2 linked regions of the Rattus norvegicus genome follow. The protein of the gene in region 1 binds, or shares a complex with, the protein of each later gene. Links are inferred from orthologs where the notes say so. Each region holds a gene or a part of one and is shown in the gene's direction. Other genes may lie near its edges.

Region 1 (4,954 bases):
CAGAGTCCTGGGCTTGGTTTTGCTTGGTTCATCCTTTGAAGACACTGGACCATTTTAGGTCATTAGCCCAGGACAGAGGACTGTAGGACACCACAGGCTTATGGAGTCAGATCACTCAAGGCCTCCCGGGGCCATTGCTGGGCTTTTATAGAGCTGAGCAAGCAGGGACAGATTGCAAGTCAGGGATGCGTTTGTCTCACAGGAAGAAGGCTGCTGGTGCAGATTTTCCAAGCTAAATCCGGCATAGCCAAGGCTACAGATACAGACCTACAGGAGCAGCAAAGTGGGCACGCAGGATCAAGGCTCCTCTGTGTCGGTGGCAGGAGGATGACTCATGACAATCTTACTGAGGCAGGAGAATCACAAGCTCAAGGCCTGCCTGAGTTCAAGTCCAGCCCCCAAAACCTAAGGAGACTTTTCTTTTCTTTTTTTTTTTTTTCCCCCAGAGCCGGGGACCGAACCCAGGGCCTTGCGCTTGCTAGGCAAGCGCTTTACCACTGAGCCAAATCCCCAACCCAAACTTTAGGAGACTTAAGCGAAGGCTGGGGATGTAGCTCAGTGGTAGAGTGCTTGCTGTGTGTGTGCAGGGCCCTGAGTTTGAATCCCAACACCATAAAAAAAATCACTGGCTCAGCGGTTAAGAGCACGGACTTCTCCTCCAGAGGTCCTGAGTTCAAATCCCAGCAACCATATGGCGGCTCACAACCATCTGTAATGAGATCCGATGCCCTCTTTTGGTGTATCTGAAGACAGCTACAGTGTGTGTGTGTGTGTGTGTGTGTGTGTGTGTGTGTGTGTGTACACACTCTAATTCATTATGGCTGGTATGTGTGTGGAAGCAAGAAGATAACCTACCTGAAGGAGTCTATTCTCTCATTCTACTGTGTGAGTTGCTGGGAATTCAGTTCAGGTCCTGAGGCTGGGTGGCAAACACCTTTGCCATCTGAGCTATCTTGCTGGCCCATTTCTTAGTTTTTTTGAGGCAGGCTTTCGTGTAACCCAGGCTGGCCTTCAACTGGCTTAACACAGCCAAAGAAGAACTTGAAGGTCATCTTTCTTCCTCTACCTCCCCAGTGCTGGGATGATAGGTGTCACCATGTCACAGGCACCTCTAAACATACGAGTCACCCTAGAGAAAGCCTTCAGGTCTCGGTGTAAACGAAGCCCGAATCAGTGATACAGGATACTGCTGGGAGTTTAGGAAAGAGCTCTCCTAAGGTGGGAAGCAGAGAAAAAAAAAACTTCAGAAGCACATAACCTGGATGACCTTTGACCCTGGAGCATCACCTGACTCCGGTGGCTGCAAAGCTGTTCAGTAACTCGGAGGGAAGTGTGTGGAATACAGAAGCAAGAAGTCACCTGGAGTGGCCGGTGTCCTTCTTCCTGGACACCAGCGGTTCTGCTATCTTTGGGACACTGAGAGTCAGGGGAACAGCGGCTGGGGTGCACCTAGTGTGTGAGGGGCAGGGCCTGCAGGAGACATTAAGTTGTAGGGTGCCTGCGTGTGGCCTCAAACACCTTTGAATTGTTGGTGGCCCGATCTCGGGCTTCCGCCCTCTAGCTGCTCAGACAGCTCTCCCCTTCTCTTCCGGCCTCAGTTTCCCCATTCAGAGAGTAGTTAGGGGCAACAGCCTGCGCTCTCTGGACGAATCTTGAGCTGAGCTGGACTTAACTGAGGTCCAGGCGGCTTGGTACCCGGAGGGGTGGGCGGGCCCTGGGATCTGGCCACAGCCGCCTGGGTCCCGCCCCCGGTCCCTGCGGGGCTGTGCCCGAAGGCCCCGCCCCCCGCCCACGAGGAAGTGGCTGCGGCGCTGCGCGGGTCTCAGAGCCGGTTCGGCGCGTCGACTGTCCAGAGTCCGCGGCCGAGGAGACCCGAGGTGAGGGACGTGGGGTGGTCACGAGGTGTGTGTGGGATCTGAGGCTACCTAGAAGTCAGGGAACTCGAGCGATGTTCGACGGTGAGGGGGCTGAGGATGAGAGAGGAGTGGAGAGCCGTGTGCATGGGGGCCTGGTGGGGCTCCCGGCGAGGGTGGGGCTGGCGAGGAGATAATGGGGGACCGCGTTCTGGGGATGCGGGGTGCGGTGGGAAGGGTCGCAGAGAGTCCCCGCGCACTCCACGCCATCGAGGCGGCACAGCCCCAGCCCTCGCTCCCCCTCTTCGCTTTCCTGGCCCCGCTTTCCTATCCTCGCGTCCCGAGTTGCCCCGTTACTTTGGGCGCAGGGCCCCACGCCCAGTCACTTCCCCCTTGGTTCGCAGCCTTCCGGGTTGTTGAGACCGGGAAATGAGCTAGCACCCTGCCCCGCCTCACCCTCCCCCCCAGTGACCATGCCCACTCAGCAGGGGTCCAGGTTCCTGGGTCTCACCCGGTCTGGGCGAGTAGACCCGGGCGGCGCGAGGGGCACCCAGCCAGGCCATCCTGGACAGGGCAGGTTTGGTGGGGCCGGCGAGCGGGCAGGAATCCTGAACTGGGAGCCAGCCCAGGTGCTGGCCGTGGAGCTTGTTCCCGGGAGGCAGCTCCAGCCTGGGGCGGTGTAGCTGCTCCTGCTGTTGTGGCTGCTGACGCAGGCGAGCTACCTCGCCTGTGTAGAGCTCAACTTACCTTGCCGGAAAAATGGGGACCTTCCAGATCCGGAGGCTTAGCGGCCAGATGTGGCCAATACACTTGGCAGTGTGCCTGCCTGCCTGCAGACCTCATTTCTGCACTTGGGTGAACCTGGCCTTGTGTGGTGGTGGCGGTAGGGTGGGTTGGTGTCCGAAGCCCTGCGGGGCGACTTGGAGGGAAGTTCAACTTCTTCACGTGGACAATTAAAAAAAAATAGATTTACCAGGTTGGCTTCGACTGTAAGAGAATGTGCGGGGCTGGGAGACCGAGCAGGGCATCATAAAAGCACTGACCGGGGAGCATGAGGGTCTGAGTTTGAATTCCGGGACGTCCATGGCGCTCACACACACACACAAGTGCAAGGCAAAGTTCTGTGTGAATGAAAATTCCTAGTGATTCTCTTTTGCTCTGGGTTGTTTTGTTTTCTAGACAGGGTCTTTCCTCCCCTCCTTCTTTCCCACACCTCCCAGGCTGGCCTTGAACTCTTAGAGCTCTGCCTCCCCAATGCTGAGATTAAAGGTGAACACACACCGGGGGAACTTTTAAATAACAAATAACGTTAACCAGAGTTAATTTTGTTCTGTCTTGGTCCCTGGGCCTCGAATTTATTAGGCAAATGCTCTACCAATGAGCCACACCCTCGGCCTCCCCAGTGGTATGTGGGTTTTTCCAATCTGTCACTCATCCATTAAAAAAGGATTTTCTGTAGTAAAGAATCCCAGAGAGAGGGATTTAAAAGTTTGCTTTTTCAAGTTACTAAGTTCATCCGTGTTATTTTCTCCTTTTAAAGATTTATTCTTACGTGTTGGGTGGCGCGCACACACACACACACACACACACACACACACACACACACACACACACGCACACGAGCACACGAGCACACGAGCCCCAGGGTGGTGGAAATGATACCCCCTGGAGCTAGAGTATTTATTTGGTGGTTGTGGGTTGTGAGCTGCTGGAGTCCCAGGTTCGCTTGCACAGAGCCCTCTTTCCACCCTATGTTCTATCTGTCCTTACACAAGCTAGCACACTGCCCTTCCAAGGCACAGGACAAATGAGGCTCTCTCCACAGCCCTGCCAGCACCGAGTGTTCTGGGTTTTGGAGAAGTTTAATTTTGACTATCAAAACTGCTGTTTTACAGTATTTTGGAATTTATTTTCATCTGTGTTGCTGGATTTGACATTCCCCTCACTCACTCAAGGGCAGCCCAGAGGAGGAAGGGGAGGAGGAGGAGGAACTAGGGGCTTGGAGGGCCGATCACACCACCCAGGCTACCCACAACAGGAAGTTGAGTAAGGCTTAGCACCATAAAGAAGAAAAAGAAAGGGCTGCTGGCTCTGCTCAACTGAACGCCTGAGCTGGGCGGGGACTTCCTGGATTGCCTGTGGAGCCAAGGTTCTTGCTGCAGGGAACTCCTGCCTGGTCTAAGTCTCAGATCCAGCCAAAATGTGGATTCAAGGAAACAGAGCCAAGAAAAGCCAACTGAGAAGGAAGGACCAACAGGCTGTCCCCATTTGGGCCCAGGTTGGGGCCAGGGCAAAGGATGCCCCGCCCGGATGGAGAGTTAGAGGAGTATTTATTTATAACTACATTTATTTATTTGTGTGTGGGGGTGGGGGGAGTGAGAGGGCAAGTTACAAGAGCTGCTTGGTCCCTTGTTTCACTATGTGGGTCCTGGGGATCAAACTCAGGTCACCAGGCTAGGCTGGAAGCTCCCCCTATCTGTCTGTCTGTCTGTCTGTCTGTCTGTCTGTCTGTCTGTCTAATTTATCACAGGTTCTCCGTATGAAGCCCAAGCTGGCTTCAAACTCATGATCCTCCAGCCTCAGCCTTCTGTGTCTTTGATGAGCAGCAGCACACCCTGTTGGAGAGTTGTCAACCCTGTCATGTCGTCCCATGCTCCACACCCCCCCCCCCCAAAAAATAGTGTTTCTCGGTTCATCATCCCTCAATACAGACAGCAGGAGAGTGGAAATCATTCAGCAATGGTCAGGAAGTATTCCTGGAGGGTTGGAGTGTGGCTCAGTGGTAGAGCCCCTGCCTAGAATCCCCCAGTGAGGGGCTGCTGGGGTGTGGCTCAGTGGTAGAGCATCTGCCTAGAATGTAGAAGGCTTTGGGCACCATCCCCAATAGTGTGAAAGAAAGCAAAACAAGAACCCCTCAGTTTATTTTGTATCTGAAGCTGGCCTCAAATTCATGCCTTTCCTGCCTTTCCTGTCTCTAGAGTATAAGGGATTACTGGCACTTGCTAACAGGCACAGTTTAGGAATTTGTGTCTATGGGGCTGTCAGATGGCTCAGTGGTTAAGAGCACTGGCTGCTCTTCCAAAGATCCTGAGTTTATCTCT
Region 2 (4,749 bases), on another chromosome or scaffold:
AAGCATTCACTGACTACCTTCTGAATACCTAGTTTTATGAAAAATTATGAAAAAAGATACATAAGAAAAATAGGCTCAACCCTCCAGAATCTTGGGAATCTCGTTCACCAGCAAGATAAAACATAACCTATCATTAGGTAATTTGAGAAGCTTGTGCTACATAACCAATAAACACATTGCACATATACGCAGAATTTTAGAGTCTTTTTTAAGTATTTCTGCGAATTGAACCCTGGGGGCATTCTTGGGAAAAGCACATTAGCCCAATTTTGGCAATAAGAAATCCGAGGTTCCAAATTTTAAGCAACGTGCCTCAATCTCGCAGATTATGAGAGCAAAAAAGTCGAAACTCAGCCACTGCTTTCTGATCCCAAGCCCAGTGCTCTTTTTCAGTACTGCACAACAAACGAGGTAACTCAACAGGATGACATCCAGCCTTCTGCTGTTTGTGAAACCAGGTAGATCTGCATCTAAGCAGAGCATAGCCAAGTGTCTGAATTAATTTTATTTTGTAAATACGTGTACGACAGTATAATGCACAGAGCACAGCTATTATTTGTTTAATCTTAGTGCCTCTGACGGGAATGTGGAATATCGCAAAAAAGCTGATCTGGCGTGCCTTAAACAATAAATAACAACCTTGAAAGTCCAGTTTCTATTAATCCTTGCACACGCTATTTTCCCTCAGCGCCAGCGCTGAAAAGCCTAACTCGCCCACCCTCTTCTGGCATTCTTGCTCCAAATAACTACTTATTTTAAGATGTGATGACTGATTCTAGAAAATGCTACAAGTTTGCCCCAATTTCGCTACCCGTCCCCAGCCCCGGCCCAAGCATCTTTTCCCTCCCTCCAGATGGAGAGAATACCGAGTTGAGATTCTGCAGGTCCGGCCGCGATGCTGTCCCCCAGCACTGACAGGTAAGAAGTGACCTTTCGACTCCGTCCTTGGGGACCTCCCACCGACAGCGTGCCAAGATCCCAAGCCCCGGAAGGGGCTCTCAGCTCTGGAACGCAGCCCCCGGCGGCGCTCGGTCCGAATGGAGGGCTCCGATCACTAGTTTCGTGCTGGGCATCACTCCGCCTCATTCTCCCGCTGACTGCAGGGGACTAGGTTCTGCAGCCAGTCCATCCCACCCCACGCTTAAGTCCGACCACCCACACTTCACACCGGACCCCAACAACAAGCGGCTGGCACCGACGGCGGCAGCACTCCAGGCCACGCGCCCCAAGTGCCCATAGCCTCCAGCCCAAGACCCCCCGCAAGGCTGGACCGCAGAAAAGCGTTTCTATGGGAACCTCCCGGGTGTCACGTGACGCTCCCCGGCGGCCAATCAAGTCTCCCGCTCCGCCTCAGCCCGCTTTCTGTCCGCCCGCCGCCCCCGCCTCTCTCCCTCCAACCCCGCCCCTTTCCTGCAGCGGGCCCGCGCGTGCGCCGTGCGTCCCGCGCGCTCCCTGGCCGACGCGCGCTCCCGGGGGACGCGGGGGCGGAGCGGGGGCTGAAGGATGGCTGGAAGCTGAGGAGGAAGCCGCGCCGGCTAGCGCGCAGGCCCAGAAGCGAGCAAGCAGCGGCTGCCGGCGACGCCCCAGAGCGGAAGAGGGAAGTGAGTCGGACAAGGCTAGGCTCGCTGAAGAAGAGGCACCGCGGAGGGGAGGCCAGAGTTGCATCGCGATCCGGGATGTCGAAGAACACGGTGTCGTCGGCCCGCTTCCGGAAGGTGGACGTGGACGAATATGATGAGAACAAGTTCGTGGACGAGGAGGACGGCGGCGATGGCCAGGCCGGGCCCGACGAGGGCGAGGTGGACTCATGCCTACGGCAATATCCTTACGCTCGCGGCGGCCTGGGGTTGCGGGGACACGGGGACACGCGGCCAGCTGTGCCCGGCTCTAGGTGGGGACGGAGGGCAGGAGGTCCCGGGGCTATCAGGCCGCCTGCACCCCGCGGCCGCGCCTGCGAACTTGCCGGCGCCCCGATTCCTCAGGTGCGCTGTCCTAAGCGGCCGCACCCTCTCGGGGGGGCACCGGATGACGCCCTAGTGGGCACCTGAGCTCCAAAAATTCCTGCCCGGTGGGGACACGGGTCCCGCCTGGAGTCTTGCTATTCTGTCGGGTGTGTGTGATTTGCGGAGCGGGCATAGTTTATTCTAGCCAGGAGAGATGGAACAAATTGAGGCCCTCCGTACATTCAGCCCATGAGCTTTTTCCATCAGCAGTGTTATTTATTAAAAGAAGAGGGTTTGGGCAAGGTTGCATATAATTTATGAACAGGCTGAAGGGAGTTTTCTAATCCAAAATTCCCAGGTAAGGCTTTGAGCCTTTCACCTGCTAAGAAAAGGCTACTAGGAAAAGGATAGGGAATGCATGTAGAGAATCCCTGGGAATAATTTAAGATGAACCCCAGTGAATAAAGCAGAGAATGAGTCACTTCTATAAATCAAAATCGTTTTTCTGAAATTGTTTCCAGGCTAGTTAAAATATGGCTGTCAGTTCCTGGTTCCTTGGTTTGCATATCTGAATATTCATAACCTTGAAAATCATTTGCATTGATCCCTTAGAAAAATAGAAATGTCACAAAACCCCAAATTGGAGCTTTAGAAAACTCGTATTCATTAAGTCTGTAGATACATATCTCCCTCATCGATTTTCTACTAGATTATGATGAAGAAGTAAGCAGAAATATTTAGTGGTAACCACAGCATCGAATATATACATATATGTGCCATATACGTTTAACTTTCATTACCACTACTTCCACATTGGTTGCTACTAATTTATTTATTAAAATACTTGGGATTTTTTTCTTTAAAAAGTGTTCTTTAAGAGACTATGCAGGCTTGACAGTAGTTTATCACTAACTGTAGATAATTTTTATTAGACCTTTTCCACAGAAGTGGTGAGTTTATTCTTCGTTTAAAGAAATCTTTATGGTGGATATGATATTTTATTAAACTAATGTATTTTAGGTAATTTCTGGTGATTATTATGACTGTATCCATTATTAATTCAGTCTACCTTTTCATCAATCCATCTTATCCAAATATAAAGGTACTGTCTCTGGTTATAACTAGGAGCGGCAGCCCCGGTTGGGTACTACAGATGGAGGAACAAGTGACTCTGGTTCTCCTTTTAGGGAAATGACTGTCTTTTCTGACAGTCTGATTGGCCTTCCGTTTCCCGTGCTTGCTAACTCATTAGTGCTTTCAGTACGAAGTAGGTATGGAGGGTCCAGCCCAGTTTGAATAACCTGTAGGAAATAAAGTAAGCTGCCACCTACAGGTCGTGTGGGTTATTACATCATCTGGAGCCCTGTTCATCAATATGCAGCTATCACGGCCTGTCCCACTCTGATTGCCAGAGTAATCTGCCAGCACCTCAGTTAATACACAGTGTAGTTTCAGTATCAAGTTTAGGCTTGTTTTCCAGTAAGAATCACGCAGACAGGATGGAATACTTTGTTGGTAAACTGCATCATTCGATGGCTTAATTCTTAGGCATATTCTAAGACTTCTTGAATACCTGTCTAGACAATTGTGTGTATTTCCCTGGAAAGTGTAATCTCTTTGGTTGACAGAACAGGTCAGAACAATCTTTGCTTTTAAAAAAAATCATATTCTTAAGCGCAAGGCCCTGGGTTCGGTCCCCAGCTCCGAAAAAAAGAACCAAAAAAAAAAAATCATATTCTTTTAATTTCATTATTTTAACCTTTGGTTGACATATTGGAAAGAAACCCATACAGTTAATGACCATAGTAGTTTTTGTTACTGTTCACAAAGTCAAGTCTAACCCACCAGTCCCATAAAGTGGGGCTGCCTTTTTTTTGGTTCTTTTTTTCGGAGCTGGGGACCGAACTCAGGGCCTTGCACTTCCTAGGCAAGCGCTCTACCACTGAGCTAAATCCCCAACCCCGGGGCTGCCCTTTCTGTTATGCCCTTAACCTTCACTACAGGAAACATGACCGCTGCCCTACAGGCCGCTCTGAAAAACCCCCCCATTAACACAAAGAGCCAGGCAGTGAAGGTGAGTGGTAAACTACAGCGTTAATCCCTTCTGCTTCGCTATTATCAAAGTCCTCTGACACCTACCTTCAATGACCATTTTAACTATTTACTGTGCTTGACACGAGGGTTTACAGTGTGACTTTTGTTTTGAGACTGGACCTGAGTCTATAACCTGGCCTGAAACTTGCAGAGATCTCCCGCCTCCACTGGGATTAAAGGCATGCACCACCACATCCAGCCCGAAAGGAAGCCCCTGCTAAGTAGAACGGTCATGGAAAATAGGGCTGACATGTGGTTAGGACGCGTGGAGCACAGTAAACAGAAAGGGTGGGGACACCAGCTCTGTGTGTGCTTAAGGAGCAATCTGCTCGAGTTGAATTCAAACAGGTTCAAAAAACACTCAGCTGCCTCTTAATTCCCTAAGTTTTTCTTAATTATGTAAATATGAAATATCAGAATCAAAGGCATGAGCGCATAAAAAGGTGGTTTCCGTGCTACTTCCTCGGGTCACAGCTACTGCCTTATATGGTATTGCTGCACACTGAGGGGTTTCTACCAGGGTTTGTGTTCTTTTAAAAAATTAATAGAATCTTACACTTGAGCTGCATAGTAACGTACATGATCTTTCCTTAGCAATAAGATTATTTCCGTGGCATTCTAACTGCTGTACACCAGTATATGACATCGTATATGCAACTGATCCCTTTTACTGTATATTAGGTTTTCTAGTTTTTCCTGCTAAATGAATAAT

The links. Proteins that work in one complex are often made in the same cells at the same time.
Region 2: Arpc1b (region 1) and Arpc5 share a complex: the UniProt entries of both Homo sapiens proteins name them as parts of the arp2/3 complex. The link is inferred for Rattus norvegicus from reciprocal best matches to the Homo sapiens genes ARPC1B and ARPC5.

Annotation. Positions count from the first base shown.
Region 1 is NC_086030.1:14,606,344-14,611,297, reverse strand, and holds the start of Arpc1b (actin-related protein 2/3 complex subunit 1B), read left to right. Parts: upstream 1-1,809; 5' UTR 1,810-1,877; exon of another isoform or gene 1,878-1,902; intron 1,903-4,954. UniProt on the Homo sapiens protein: Component of the Arp2/3 complex, a multiprotein complex that mediates actin polymerization upon stimulation by nucleation-promoting factor (NPF).
Region 2 is NC_086031.1:67,452,765-67,457,513, forward strand, and holds the start of Arpc5 (actin-related protein 2/3 complex subunit 5), read left to right. Parts: upstream 1-1,614; 5' UTR 1,615-1,676; coding exon 1,677-1,819; intron 1,820-3,944; coding exon 3,945-4,017; intron 4,018-4,749. UniProt on the Homo sapiens protein: Component of the Arp2/3 complex, a multiprotein complex that mediates actin polymerization upon stimulation by nucleation-promoting factor (NPF).